2 linked regions of the Notamacropus eugenii genome follow. Each later gene encodes a partner of the first gene's protein in a complex. Links are inferred from orthologs where the notes say so. Each region holds a gene or a part of one and is shown on either strand. Other genes may lie near its edges.

The links. The genes of interacting proteins can lie anywhere in the genome.
Region 2: the proteins of GSK3B (region 1) and FRAT1 are in contact, whole or in part, in a crystal structure (PDB 5OY4), measured with the Homo sapiens proteins. The link is inferred for Notamacropus eugenii from reciprocal best matches to the Homo sapiens genes GSK3B and FRAT1. Residues at the interface, in NP_001139628.1 of Homo sapiens: Tyr216, Ile228, Phe229, Ser261, Gly262, Val263, Asp264, Leu266, Val267, Ile270, Lys271, Thr275, Pro276, Ile281, Tyr288, Thr289, Glu290, Phe291, Lys292, Phe293, Pro294, Ile296; in NP_005470.2 of Homo sapiens: His200, Leu202, Leu203, Leu206, Val207, Ser209, Gly210, Asn211, Leu212, Ile213, Lys214, Glu215, Ala216, Val217, Arg219, Leu220, His221.

Annotation. Positions count from the first base shown.
Region 1 is NC_092876.1:345,958,704-345,966,336, reverse strand, and holds the start of GSK3B (glycogen synthase kinase-3 beta), read right to left. Parts: upstream 3,264-7,633; 5' UTR 3,226-3,263; coding exon 3,138-3,225; intron 1-3,137. UniProt on the Homo sapiens protein: Constitutively active protein kinase that acts as a negative regulator in the hormonal control of glucose homeostasis, Wnt signaling and regulation of transcription factors and microtubules, by phosphorylating and inactivating glycogen synthase (GYS1 or GYS2), EIF2B, CTNNB1/beta-catenin, APC, AXIN1, DPYSL2/CRMP2, JUN, NFATC1/NFATC, MAPT/TAU and MACF1.
Region 2 is NC_092872.1:214,099,567-214,107,246, reverse strand, and holds FRAT1 (proto-oncogene FRAT1), read right to left. Parts: upstream 3,584-7,680; 5' UTR 3,440-3,583; coding exon 2,573-3,439; 3' UTR 808-2,572; downstream 1-807. UniProt on the Homo sapiens protein: Positively regulates the Wnt signaling pathway by stabilizing beta-catenin through the association with GSK-3. May play a role in tumor progression and collaborate with PIM1 and MYC in lymphomagenesis.

The sequences.
Region 1 (7,633 bases):
AAACATCTCTCTCTCATACACACACACACTCTCATGCAGGATCCTGACAGCTTGCCAGTTTCTTCATTTTGTTCTTTGCTTTCCATTTCTATAGCCACCATAACCAACTTCTCACTTCAGCTGACTTCAAGTAGCCCCCTAACTCTGTCTCACTCTACTCCAATCCATTCTAAAGATAAATGTCATATTTAGCTTCTTCAAACATCATGTTCCCCATTCTACATGTCAATTCAATAAAATCCACAGAAGCTACCTTTTACTTATCAAAAAAAAATAGAGATAAATTTGAATTTGTCAACTGCCTTCCCTGTGGCTTTCCTCCTTCATCTCTTTTTAGCCAATGTCTCTGATGCCTACTAAGTCACATACTAACTCCTTCCTTTGTGGTTTAATCACTCTAATTCTCCCAACTAGAATACATTCTTTCTTTCCATACAGCAATAATAACTGCAAACATTTCTATGTAATTTCATTTATACAAAGCTTTTTTTCCTTGAAACAACCCTATGAAGTAGTATCAGTACTATTACTCTTATTTTAGATATTAAGTAATTTGACAGTCAGCTACATATGGCTCACCCCAATCTACTACTCTGCCTCCATCAAATTCTGACTTGAAATTTACCTTCTTCAAGCAGTTTTCCCGGATTAACTCTTCCTTTGATCATTCTTTAATGTTAAGTCCCCTTGGCACCCAAGCATTCAATTTGATTATATCACCCACACCATTTTAATAGATGATTTTATGTTTGTTTCCCCAGAAAAATGGTCTCAAGTAGCCCTATTTGTGCAGGACTCTCCATAGCAAATACTGATTAAATGTTAAATTATCCTTATTTCCTCAAAAATATCCCTAAATTCAAAGTCAGAGGCATGATTATATTTGACATTAAATTTCCACTTATTATGGCAATCTATGCCCATAAAAGATGAGTTTACAGATTCAATTTAATATACTATATTATTTATTAAAATAATACTAATTTACCAGTCAAAATTTAAACACATCATTCAGCAATGCTGCTCTCATCAGATACGTCAAATATAGCCACTTTAAAAGCAAATAAATTCTTCCAACAAAAAAAGTTTGAAGACAGGTAAAATTGCTTTGCTTTCTTAGCTGTAACTAATGAATGTTAATGGGTCTCAAAGAACTATTACTCCAGATTTCTATTATGAAAAAGACACATTCCAATAACTCAGGAGAGATTCCTACACTATTTTAAGACTTGCTTCATCACAGCTGAAGATTACAGCAGAATTTTAAATATTCATCTCATCTCACCCTTAATGTACTTATGATGGTTTGCCCTTCCACAGAGTAATGCATAGTTTGCTTCTCTCCCCATCCCTAGAATTTTAGTTGGCTAAAGACCAAAAAAACAAAAGCCTGATTATACTTTCCAAAATAAAAAAACTGCCAGTCACTACCTTTAACTTCACTATTTAATATCAACATTGATGCAGGCATACATCAAATAGAAGTTCAAAGTCAAGATGGTCCAGTATAGCCCTGAACACTGATATCAGTGTAAGGGCTGAATACCATTTGGTAAAGATAAGTAATTTAACCAATTTTTCAGAAAAGTAACCTGTATTGAGATTTCTTTTCTTTCTAACCAGGAAGTCTTTGACTCAAGAACAAAAAAGAAATTCTATGGAACCTTACTTCATCTCTCTCTTGCTGCATCTCACTTCAGGAATAAAGAGATTACAATTGGTCAAACTCTAGAAGTGCATTTCAATAAGATAAAAAACATTTTAAACATTAAATATTATAAACACTGTTCCAAGCTCACACATTTTCAAAAAGCACAAATGAAGATGAACTGAAATTGTTGGACATATGGCAATAACAGTAATAAACTATTAATTTTTGGTGTAAAGAAATAGATTAAAAAAGACAGTTTGACAACAAATTGCGTACATTCTTAACGTATTCATCTCTACTCCAGAAGCTATGAAAGAAAGGACTTATTTACTCAGTTGTCTGATCTTTTCAAAGCTCCAGATGAATTGAAAAAAAAATTTCAGAGAAAAATACAGTTTCTGAAAATATGAGTTAATTCAGAGTAAACTGGTGCATCTGTCAATCCAAGAGTGACATCAACATTTGTAAATGTATAAAATAAAATTGCTAAAGCTTTTTTCAGGTACAAAAAGAAATCACAATACAGACATTTTAAATAGTCCTTTAAATTACACTTTAATTTAGGACTTTAATAAAGCCATTTACAACAGTACCCCTCCAAATGAATAAAAATGATAGTTTTAATTGGCAACAACTGAAGTGTAACTGTTAGCATGCTGAAATTGACATTAAAATTCTAAATCACAAAAGTCAAACTGAAACGTGAAACTTTTTAATTAAAACACAGATCTCAATAACTCCTCATTAAATTTCTAACGTCACAGCCAAAAGATATAGGATGACATATTAAAACCAATTAGTCAACTTACAACATATGCAGCACTGCTGCTGTATAGTGTGGTGCCACAAGCCCATTATTTTTAAGGCAGAAATGAATAACCTCCAAATTTAAAACCTCATCATGGCACAAGCTGACCCTTCCGAGTACCAGCTATTATTTTACATATCCAAAAAATAAATGTTAAATATTTGTCTTTATTAAAAGCATAAAACCAAGATAACCATACTTAGGTCTGAGCTTCCTAAACATCTCTTCTCATTCAAAAAAAGACATCCACGCTTCAACTTTTATATTGCCTTGTTTTAAGCAATATATCTTTTTCTGTTTTTCCTTACTTAAAAAGATGATTGATTACTTAGCTCTCTAATTTCCTATAGATTCTTTAAGCAGTTGCTTAGGAAGACCATTCGTAAATATATTCGAAGTCATGCTAGATAGGGGGGAAAAACAAACTTGCAAACTAAAACATCCAAATAAAAATCACATTCTGTCAATTCAAGGTTAATGAGACGATGGGGGGAAGGTATGGAAGCAGACAGGGAGGTGCTTCACCTTTGAATAGTGACTACTTTCACCTTTTTCCATTACACAGGCCGTTGAATTTTTTTGGTTTCTAATCTATATTTTTTTAATCCTGGCATTTCCAGGTCTTTATTTTAAAGGGAAGGGGTAAAGGGGTAAAAAAAAAAAAAAATCAATACTCACTGCTAACTTTCATGCTGCCAAAAGCTGAAGGCTGCTGCACTGGTTTGCAGCTCTCTGCAAAGGAGGTGGTTCTGGGCCGCCCTGACATGATCTCTCTTCTCCCGATCACCTTCTTCCTCCTTTTCTTCCTTTTGTTTTATTTTGGGGTGTAAGTTAATGACAAATGCAGCATTAAGCTCACACACACAAACCAAAAAAAAAAAAAATGTTTTCTTCTTCTTGGCTTTCACTTCTTTTACGTAGCTATATAAAACCAAACGATCGATTTGTATCCTCCTCCAAGACAGATGAGATATGGATTTTTGTATCTAGATGATTTGGGGCTGGGGAAAAAAACACAATTCTTCTCCCCCCTCACCTTCGGAGGGGGAAGGGAGAAAAACCTGAAAAATATCTGTTAAAATGGAGGGGGGAGGGAAGAGGAGGGGAGAAATTACTTGATTGGAATTTCAGTACTTTGAATATTATTTTTTTTCCTCCTCGGGGATCTTTTTTTTTTGAGTCAATGAAGAAGGGAAGCGGCGGAGGGATCACGAGTCTCTTGCTTGAAGAGAAAGGGGGATGGGAAGGGGGAAGGAAGGAGGGAGGCAGGGAGGGTGGCTCGGTGATGCGACTGGAAATGCTGCGGATCCGGCGGCGGGATCCGGCCGACGGGCGGAGGGAGCGCTCGGTCGGCGCGGCCGAGCGCGGCACGGCACGGCCCGGCCCGGAGAGCTCGAAGGCGGCGGATCTGGGGAGTCGGTCAGAGGCGGCGGGGGGCGGCGGCGGCAGCTCCTCTCCTCATTGCGCCAGGGGCAGCTGCAGGCGGTGGCTGGATCCAGCGGCCATGGCGGCGGCGGCAGCTCCCTTCAGACCCCAAGCAGCGGCTCCTGTGCTGCTCCCCATACGCCGGGGACATGGGAACCCGGCAACCGCTTCCGTCCCTTGAGGGCCCCCTCCCCCGGCCAAGGCACCGTCGCTGCCCTCCCGCCCCCTAGGTCCGCTCGCTGCCCACTCGGGAAATGTCCGCGCTTTGGCCCCAGCCCGGCGCCCTGACAGCGGCTTAGGGGGGCCCCCGGCTCCTCCTTGCTTCCTTCCTTCCTTCCTTCCTTTGTCACTCGGTCCGGGCAGCAGCGGCTCCTGCCCGCATTCACCAGGGTCGGGGGCTGCTCTGTATGAGAAGCACCTACTGCGCAGCCGCCTAGCTCCCCCTCCCCTCGCCTGCTCCTCCTCCTCCCCCCTCTCACCTCCGCCTCCTCCGCCTCCTCCGCCTTCCTCCTCCCTAGCCCAGCCCAGTCCAACACTACCCAGAGCCCCCACCGCCCGCGTAACAGGCGTCTGGGAATCGCCGGCCGAAGTCTGAGCCTCGCACACCGCCCTCCCGCTTCGGCCGAACGCCAACCTCAGCCAATCAGAGAGCGTCGTCTGTTCGCTGCTCCCTCCGGAAATAGCCGAGGGGCGGCAGGAGCCAATCGGAAGCGGCCGCTGAACAACCCTCCCTTCCCAACCCCCCACGCCCCGAGGCAACGGAAGGAGCCGAAGACTGCCGACGGAGGAAGAGGAGGAGAAGGAGGAGGAAGGAGTTGGAAAGCCAAGCTTCCTGGTTAGGTCACAGGCAATGGCTGAAATTCGTCAAAGGCAGAAAGGGCCAATCAAAGGCTTCCCAGTCGCCTGCTCTCGCTGAAAAGTGCGGAGAGGCCCAGCGTGGTTAAAAGCCCCAGGAAGGTGTGCGACCCTGCGCCTCGGCCGCTTTGTCATTGGTTGAAAAACTCCGCTGGGAGGTTGAACCACATCACTCAGTGATTGGCTGAGGGAAGGGGGCTTCCGAGGACATCCCAGCAAGCCCGAATCGTCCCATGTCTCACCGAGGCGGGGTGGGAAGGAGGGAGGGCAAAGACCTATAATGCTCTTTCTTATTGGACAACGGCCGCTGTGCGCTGGAGAGGGGAGAGGGGAAGGGGAGGGAGGCTGAACTCCTTGAGGTTGGCCAATCCGAACCTGCCTTGGGCCTATCGCAAGACTTTGGCTGAGTCTGATTGGTCCCCTGGCTTGGGCAGAGGGGAATGAGCTAGATTGTGGTCGTGGCGGAACCTCCCCTGGGTGGACGATCGGGGTTGGGTGAATTCTGCCTTGGCTGTTTGAAAGCCGCAGATATTGAGGGGTGGAGCAGACTCACGCATTCGCGACGTAATGGTTGGGACCAGTGGCGCATAGGTCTCAACAGCCTGGGGGCCCAGTTGCCTCTGGGCCTAAATCCTGGATCCCTGCCTGCGCAGGCGCGTGCGTGCGTGTGCGTGTGCGTGCGGGGGAGGGGGAGTGAGAAATTCATGTTCCGTACTTGTAACTCCGAAGGCCCAGAAGTTCTTCGTGCCTGGGCACGGGTGACCCCGCCCTCTCCTGCCGCACAGCTGGGGGCGGCGCTCGGCCTCGCAGCACCCTTACGGCCCGAGGAGCGTAACTCCTTGCCCTGCGCGGCGCGGGGAGCTGTCCTGGACGCTTCGGCCCTCCTCTGCCCCTTTAGTCTTAGGTTCTTGTGGGCGCTGTGCTCGGGCTCAGGGTCTCTGCCCCGGAAAACACCCGGGAGAAATGAGATCACCGCAGCTCGGTGCGCTCCCAGGGTGATCACAAATAGCTGCAGTTCCGTGAGTGGCTCCCAAACACGTGAAGGGGCCGGAGTCGTGCCGGATATCCTTGGGCCCTGGGTGCAGCCGGGATAATTATAGCTGTAGTTGGCTTGGGAGCTTCAGATCAAAGGGTAGTGTGTGAGGGCAGGTTATTTTTGATGGTTTGTTTCTTGCGTGTGGTATGTTGTGATTGTAAGAGGACCAAACCCCTCGCGCCGTAATGGGCACTTTCTCTCCCACTCCAAGCATCTTTTGGCCTGCTCCGACCGTCTGCTTGTTTGTGTGTTAAGCTGACTGGTACGCTGCTGTGTATGTATCGGTGTGGATGGAACTGTGCAGTTTTATACATGTCTGCGTATCTGTAAATTCAACAATTGGGTTCCCCCTAGAGGGCACCTGAAACCCCGGCGGAGAGACCATTGTCTGTGTTACAGGCAGCTGCTCAGATTCCTAGTATTATAACTCAGGTTGTATCATCCTGATATAAAAAGCAGTTCATACAAGAACTGAAGTGCCCCTGCCCTCGTAAGTGCGTATGGAAACGTGCACTTAGAGAGCGTGTGGTTTAATGGGTGTAAGTAGATGGAAAAGTCAGTGGGGAGTCTGGGATGGGTTGGGGAGAAGGAGTGACGGTAATGGGTAGAAGGGGGCTTTTACCTGAGCTGGATGCTTGGCTCACGTATCTCTGAGAGGCTCTTCGGGACTGAGGATTTGTGAGGACGGAGAAACTCTAGGCATGTGAAGGACACACCTCCTGAAACCCAAAAGTGTAACTTCCACAAATGATAGGCTTCAAAGCTCAAAGGGGCCTTTAGGGGAAAGAACGTCAAGCGCCCTCTCCATTCTGCCCCCTACCCCTTAACGTGTAAGAAAAGTCCAGTATACAGCAGGCTAAGAGCCTGGGATCCGAACAGAGGTTCTCAGATTGCAAATTCAGTTTTCTTCCTGAAACCTCGTGTTCTACTTTTCTGTGTAAATTTAACACATTTTGTTAGAAATTAAATACAGATTATCTCCATAATAGATGTTTGAATGTTACCTGAACTTGAATTTGTAACATATTTCCGAGGAGTCTGGTAACCCAAATTTCTCTTCTCCTGATGTACTCCCTCAAAAAAAGAGTGTAGGCAAAGTTGTATGTAATAGTTACAAGGGCTTAATCTGTCTTCAGAATTTCTGATAGAAGAATTTACACAAATAAAACTGTGTTCCATGTTAAACAGCCAAACCTGTCGATTGAGGATTGAAGAAGCGCAGGATCAGCTATGCAGTTAATGAGCAGAATTGGAAGTGCTAAATAGTTGAACCTGAGATTCCAAAGTTATTCAGTGGTTGGTCTCAAATAGAGACACGGAATAGCGGGAGATGTTAGGCTGAGTTTCTAGGAAGGCCTTTCTGTTCCCCACTAAAAGTGGAGATTAGGAAGTGATGCTATTAAAAATGTAGAAAAGCCAAAGAGAGGATTGAGAACACTATAAAAATCTTAAATACGCTGTGCCTTACTTAATTCTCATGTGCGTATATAATCCAAGTCCCAAAGTTCATTGGTATGGGACTCTCTCCTCATTGTCAGAGATCAATGTCCTCCACCACCCCTAAATGCACATTGCATGAAGGGTATGTCAGAGTTGTCCAGAGTTTGAGAGAGGAGAGGGATAGTTCTCTCAAAGTATTATAGGGAAATAGCAATTGATAAGCAGGTGTGTTCTCTGGGGACATGGCACTCAAAGATTAGCACTGAGTAATATACTTTAATACAATAAGGGTACTGCTTCCAGCCTTGGAGATCGCAACCCATCTGTGCTTTCTGGTCTGCAGTTCTTATCCATGACCACTTGCAAACCCCACAGTGAGAATCTTTTCATTGTGCTAGAGGTGACAGGACATGTGACA
Region 2 (7,680 bases), on another chromosome or scaffold:
GGGTGGGGCACTCCTAGCTAGACCCAGTTGTACATTCATACAAGGGTGTGGGGAATATTAAACTACAGAGCTGAGAAATCAAGACCTTGTTATCTTGTTTACCTTCTTAGGAACAGATCAAAATACTGTAATTTAAATTTGGTGGTGTTAGGACTATGTTTCCTGGCTGCCCACACTAGGTGGCCAAAACTTCAATTCCCCAGCAGATGCCTCTGAAGGTGCCTACTTTTAAAATGGCACAGAGTGCTTCAGAACATAAGCTTGACAGAGTACCTGTGCTTTGGTGTTTGGGGCCAAGAATATGAGAAATGAGATTAATGTGTCCTTTAACGTATTTCAAAATGGCTTACTCAATCTGAGCCTGGCACCCACACATTAACCATATCTGTCCCAGGTTAATGGTTAGAATGAAAAGACATATTGGAGGATGTTAATAACCAGAAAGGTGGGGGGAGGGGGGGAGGAAAACCCTCACCACCTCTGCCTCTTGGGTGGGGGAACAAAACCTGTCTCCAAAAGTGTCAGATGTCTATTACCAGTGTACTTAAAGTGCATGGTTGAAGCGGATTTGAATGATATTTCAGTCTCTTATTACTGTGTGTTGTTTTAATAAATGGGGGTAGGGAGTTCCTAGGATTTGATCTTAATATTGAGCTAGCCCTAAAAGTAGTTACAGGATGCATTTATCCCATCCTTTTACAGAATGCTGAGGAACACAGGCTGTCACACATAATCCATGCTGACGTGTTTTCATCCCCATGGAAATCTGCTGGTTAGGCTGCCTTTGGCACAAAGGAAGACAGAAAATAAAAAAACCAACTTTATTTAACATAGATACTTCAGTAAAGTTAGAATCCTGTAAATCAGGACCACCACAATTTCAGACACTCCGCTGCGAAGTGTATGTGTGTGAGGATATGTACAGGCACACATCCACATACATCAACAGCCACATCTGGATGATGACCAAGCCATTGAAATTTCAAATAACAACAAAGATTGGAGCCACTGTAAAGGAAAATGTTTGCCGATCTTCTACATAGAGGGCAACATTTTCAGAATACTGAATTCACTCAAAAAAGTGAGGGATGAGATGGAGAGAGGAGAAAACAAATCCCCTTTCATTCAGAGATGTTGCAGGAGATACCACAAAAAGCCTCAGAGACAAACACATTTAAATGGGCCTCTTTCCCTTGATGCCGGGACCCCTACTCAGAACCTGCTAAAGTATAAACAAGAAAGGAAGAACATCCTGGAAAGAAAGGAAACCTTAGTGACCTGCAGTATTATGACAGGTACTAAGGCATCTTCCTCCCTGGTCAAAAAAGGCCCAAGAAGGGTCAACACACAAGCCTGTGGACATGTGCACATGTTTACACACACATGCACACAGTTTTCCCTCCCAACCAGTAGAACAAAGTGTATGTCCCCAGGAGACTCTTAACAGTTTCAAAACACAGGACTCCCTTGGAGAAGGTGCTGAATATACAGTTACTCCCTTGCCCAGAAAGACACAGCACCATGTGTGGAAAACCAGAATCCTGCAAGGACCAATTTTCGAAAGCCCCTCTAGACAGGCAGACTGTGGAGCCAAGAATTCTTCCTTCCCCAGGAACAAATCCTTCCCCTTCTCATTCCCTACCATGACCTGGTGGGAGTATTCCTCAGTTAAGCCTTAGAAACATCAGGCTGTTGCAATGTAAGGGTAGAAGTAGGAGGTTGGCAGGTAATCACTTTAAGCCACCCCACCCAAGCTTTACTCAAGTTCCTTCTTCTCACATTTAATGAAGTTGATTGTGTTCTAGCAGTAGGAACCCACAACTCAGAACTAAATCTAGTCTGGAAAATGCTATCAAGTTTTCAGTCAGGTGAAGTCACTGCATTTCTTCTCCCTGCTCTCAAATCCTTCTCTCCATTCCCACTCCACCCTCTCCCCTCCCCCCGCAAAAAACATGAGTCAAAGAAAACTACCAGTAGTGAAAACAAACTGGGTCAAGTCAAAGCAGGTAACTGGAATAATTCTCTGTTCTGAGTTCATGGTTAGCTCAGTAGGATAGAACATGTGCGAAGGAGGCCAAGATGGAAGGTGCAACTCCTATTAAAAGGCCAGTTAATATTGCACAGAGGAAAAAACAACAACTCTGTTCCAAAGGCACCCGTAGAGGTGGCCAGTTAAGGAATCCTGAAAAAGGTGTGCTGTTGGTCACATGGCAACCAGGCTAAGGTGCTGTGGATGGCTCAGTGCAAGTCAGCACCACTCATGACAAGTGAAAAAGAGGATCTTCTACTGACGCTCTTAGGTCAGTAGTGCAGTCTGTCAATACACAGGATCTATTCATCCTAATTAGATCAGGGGTTCTAATTCTCGGCCCAACCCCCCACAAACCACCCAAGTCCACAGCCTCTACATCACCCTTCCCCACTCCAGAACCTCGAAAAAAGTTCCCCCATCTTTCCCCTTTGCCTTCGAACCCCCGTTCCCCACTCCAAGTTCATTCATGTCAAGTCTCCAGGCCTTAGGCTTTCGGGTTCTTCCCCTGCCTTCTTCTTGCCCTTGAACGCGCTGGGCTCACTAGCTGCTGGGGACCAAGATGCCATCTGCACGTCTGGGCACCAGCTGGCTCCGGAGGCCCTCGGGGTTGGAGCAGGCTGGTCGCCGAGGACTACAGTGAGCTAGAGTCCCTTCTGCCTCAGCCTCCCGAACAGCCAGGGGCCACGGTGGAGCGGGGCCGGGCGCTGGGGGCAAGGGGGCCCTAGCCCCAGGGTGCTGCCTAGGGCGCCGGGAATGCAGTCGCCGCACGGCCTCCTTGATGAGGTTCCCCGAGAGGACAAGCTGCTGCAGAAGCTGGTGGGGGTCGTCGTCTCCCGCACGGAGGCCCGGCGGCCCTCGGGACCGGTGCTGGGGCTGCTGCTGCTGCAGGCGCCGGGAGGCGGCGGCGCCCCGAAGCCAGGCGCGTCGGCACGGGCCCGGCAGCGGCTGCGGGAAGCCCCGCTTGCAGACGTGCGGGCCACAGGCGCCGCTCCGGCCCGGGGCCCCCCCCGCCACGCAGGGGCCCGGCGGCGCCCGCGCCGGGGGCTGCGACGCGGCGCCCCCCTCGCTCGCCCAGCACAGGGCGGCGCGGGCCCCGCTGCCCGCGCACTGCGGCGGCCCCGGAGGCTGCGGGGGCGCCGGGGCCGGCCCCGGAGGCAGCAGCAGCTGCAGGACCGGCGGCCCCCGGGGGGCGGCCCGGCTCCCGTGCGCCGCGTCCAGCTGCAGCGCCTCTCCGATCTGGGCCACCAGCCGGTCCACGTCCCCCGAGCCCCCGACGGTCACCGACTGCCGCAGCACCAGGAAGCTCTCCTCCTCCTCCCCCTCCCCCGCGGCGTCCTCCTCCTCCTCCTCCTCTCCGGCCGCCGCCGCCTCGTCGTCCTCGTCCTCCTCCTCCCTCCGGCACGGCATGGCCTCGCTCCGCAGCCCGGGCTCCGCAGCTCCGCCGCCGCCGCTGGGGCCGCTCCTCGCTCCCCGCTCCCGGCCCGGCCCCGGGGACGGCTCCCGAAGACCAGGCGCCGCGCTCTCGCCCCGAGCCGGCCGCGTGCGGGGCCCCGAGCGCTGCAGCCGCCGCCGCCGCCGCCGCCGCTCCGGGAACTGGAGCTCAGCCGGTTCAGTTCGATTTGTAAACAATGGGTGACGCGGGGCGTTCGGGCGCTACCACTGCCGCGGGGCGGGGGGGCGCGGGGAGGGTCGAGCGGGGCGGCCCGGAGAGGCCCGGGAGGGCGCGCGGCGGGAGCTGGGCCGGGCGCCGATGCGGGGCCGTGCGTGTGCTGCGCCCGCCTGGCCCGGGGCGATGGAGCCCTCGCGGGCGCGAACCTGGGCAGCTCCAGCGCAGACCCAGACACGCGCCGCCACCTCGTGCCCACTCAGCTTGGACTCGCCCGGCTCCTTCCCTCGGCCTCTCGTGGGGGTCGCGGGCTCAGGGGTGGGATGGCTGCCTCTGGGTTTGGGGTTTTTGCGTAAAGTGGAGGAGGGGAAATTCGGGGTGTTGGGCGGAGGAAGGGACGAGGCGGGAGAAGGAGGCCGGCAGAGCCGAGGGAAGGAAAGGGGGCAGCGTGGGGCCGGTGGTCACTGTGCCACCTGCTGTCCCCACGCCCCGGGGGACCAGACGGCGGGCATCTGGAGGCGAGCTTGGCCCCGGCCAGAGCGAGGGCAGGGTTCCTGCGGGCCGAGGGGCGGCGAGCAGGAGCGGGGAGGCGTGCGGGGGGCGGGGAGTCGGGCCTCAGTTATTCCTGCGGCGGTCAGCCCGCCCCGGGCTCCAGACCCGCGTCTGTCTGCTGAGAGGCTCCCTTGGAGGTCGTCGCCACGATCGGGGTGTGGAGCGATGAGAATGTCTGGGAGTAACCTGAGGACCGCGGGACCAAAGATGAAGGAGGGTCGGGAGAGACTTTTAGGAGGCGGAGAAGGTCGTTTCCCAGCATTTCAGCCCCCCACTATGTGGAAGGGTAAACTAAGGTCCAGAGAGCCCAAGTGACCTGTCAGGGGCTGCACGCAGGCCCCCCAGCTTCAAATCCAATGATCTTTTGGGGGGAGGGGTAAGATTACAGTTGGGTTGGATTTAGGATTTGAATTTGGAAAGAGCATTGGTCTTGGAATCAGGAAGATTCATCATCTTCCTTCGTTTAAATCTGGCCTCATGGGCACTTACTAGCTGTGTGACCCTGGGCAAGTCACTTAACCTTGTTTCCTCAGTTTCTTCATCTGTAAAATAAGCTAAAGAAGGAAATGGTAAATCACTCCAGGACCTTTGCCAAGAAAACTCAGCTGTATCATGCAGTTAGGGATAAAAGATAACGTCCCTTTTCTCCCCTATCCTGGTTCAGGTCTTCATCACTTCTAGTCTCCACTAATATAATAAGCTCCTTAATTGACATCCTTGCTTCGGATCTTTCCCCTCCACATCATTCCTTTCTCCATACAACTGCTAAATTGATATTGCCAAAATATGGGTCTGACCATGAGGATCAAAAATAAAATACTCATCTTGAAACAATAATGAAAGTCAGGAAATATGATGTTAAAAGAATTAGAAAAAGAAAGTCAACCAGTCAAGTCAGAAGTTACAGAACCATAGCTCAAAAAAATTAAAATAGAAAAAACTAAAAAAGAACAGACAATGACATCAGCCATATGTAGTCTATATGACAGGAGAGTTATAAGCGTAGAGCGATAAATGATAGATGAGCCAGAGAGTTACACAGAACAAATAGCAAATCCAGGAGGTGAAATAATTATTGACAGTTATGGAAATGGTACTACTAAGAATGAATAAATACATGACAGCATATGACCTAATCATAGAAAAGGGAAAGACAATCAGAGACTTAGAAAACACAAAACTATTCAAGATATTCAGACTAATTAGAACCCCAAGGAAGTCACACGTGCTATAATACGTGCATTAAATAAGCAGCGAGGCAAAAGAAATACCATTCTACTTCAAGGTCCAGCAAGCACAGGAAAGAGTCTCATTGCACAAAAAATACTGAGCTAGTTGATAGTGTTGGATGCTACAATCCATCCAATGTTAACTTTCCTTTCAGTGACTACTACAACAAAAACATAATTTGGATAGAAGAAGTTGGTAACCTGGGACAAGAAGTAAACCAATTTAAAGCCATAATGGCAGGACAGAGCATAAGACTAGATCAGAAAGGAAAAGGTAGTAAATCAATTGAACTAGATCCAGTCATAATGACATCAAATGAAGATATTACTTGTGTCAGAATTGAATGTGAAATTAGACCTGAGCACTCAGAGCCAATAAAACACATATGTGTTGACAGAAAGCTAACCAAAACTCTGGATGGTAGGTTTTGTATAATTGATTCAAAGGAAATTGCAAATATATTCAAAACTCTTAAAGATGAGGGCTTCTATCCAACTATAAGGTCATACATAGATCACTGGAATGATGTGCCTATGTGAACAGAAACTGAGAGGAGTCAGAAGAAGATATAAAAACAGACAACAAAGCAGAAGACTCCACAGAAACTAGGCTCATCGGCTGGGAATTCTTGAACAGGCATTGGCAGAAAAGAGTCAAATCAGCCTCTAATTCCACTGCACAACATACTGAAAAATCAGATGCCAGCTCATCAACCAATATATCAAGTGATCAAGGTCAAGAACAAGGAGAAATTACCTTCTCAGGGGAGACAACCTTTCATCTGGGACCTTGATTACTAGTGGCTTACATCAGAAATGGAACAGGACAATATGTAAATGCCAAACATCAACTGACCAAGACAAGGTAAGTCAAAGAACTCATATCATGCTACTTGCCAAGAGCATCAACCATCAACTAATATGTAACTCTGACTTACAGGATATACCCTGCCAGGGTACAAATACGTTGAACCTGGAATACTCTTGACCAGGAACAACCAACCAATCCAAGTGTTCAAGCTACCAAGGAACATGATGAGCACTATCATCTTATGCAACAATTGGGCAATAACCCTTCCTTCTACTTCAGCAAAGCTGATGCTAAATTTATCTAGCAGACAGAACACACAAAAGACTGGGGAGGCTAGATTGCAAACAAGGCATTTAAATTGAAGAAGGCAATAGCACCAGAACTGGCACCACCAAACAAAAAGCAAAAAACCAACTAACTGTAAGTAAAAAAAGACCAATTCCAAAACATGTTTTCATAAACTTAGCCAAAAAAAGAAGAGTATTTAGTTGGTCAGCAAAAGAAAATATGAGTGACTCACAAGACTCATCAGAAGTGGACTCATCCATGTTAACAGAAGAACCAGGCAAAAGAACCATGGGAGGAGATGGGGGGATGGGTTGGGAGGTCCACAGGAAATTATAATAACACAACTGAATGGAAATTTGAAGGGGAATGGGTTACAAATAACATGCAGTGCATCTAGACATATCATCCTAAAAGAGGCAGAAAATCAAGAATACATACTACAGATCTCAAAACCTAAAACAGTTGCAGGACAAACTGCCTATGATGGTTGGATTGACTACCAACATGCACAAATACTAGCATGGTGGTTCCTGTTAGATACAAATGCATGGGGAGTATGGATGAGTCCAGCAGACTTTGCACACATGGCTTGGATATGCAAAACCATAGAATTAATTGACCTAAAACAAGAAATATTCAACACTAGCATAAAGACAGTCATAGAAATAACAACAACTCCACCACAAACTCAGTACACCAATGACCTCACAGCAACCATGCTAATTGCAGAGGATTCCAATAACATATTTACTTTGTCTTGTGAGGGAACATTACTGAGCACATTAGGTTACAAACCTTGGCAAACGAACCAGTTAGAACAATTTGGCTACTTCTTTAACAGATTTAATGACTTTTATAACGCAACTGCCACAACAGGCTTTACAGGAAAAATGGAGATTCCTCATTATGGAAACATGTTTCTCACATTTGAAAACAGCATACCAATAGAAATGGTAAGAACAGAAGATAGTTGGTATTCAGTACAGTAGAAATTCAAAGCAGATGCAGTCAGTCTAAGAAGAAACATTCAATATAACAGAAAACTAGGCAAGGCACTAAGAATAACACCTAACTTTAATGAAGACTCACAAGCAGAAGTAGTAGAAGCCAAAAAAAATCTGAAGAATAAGAGCAGGTAGACCAGACACACTGTTCTCAGAAG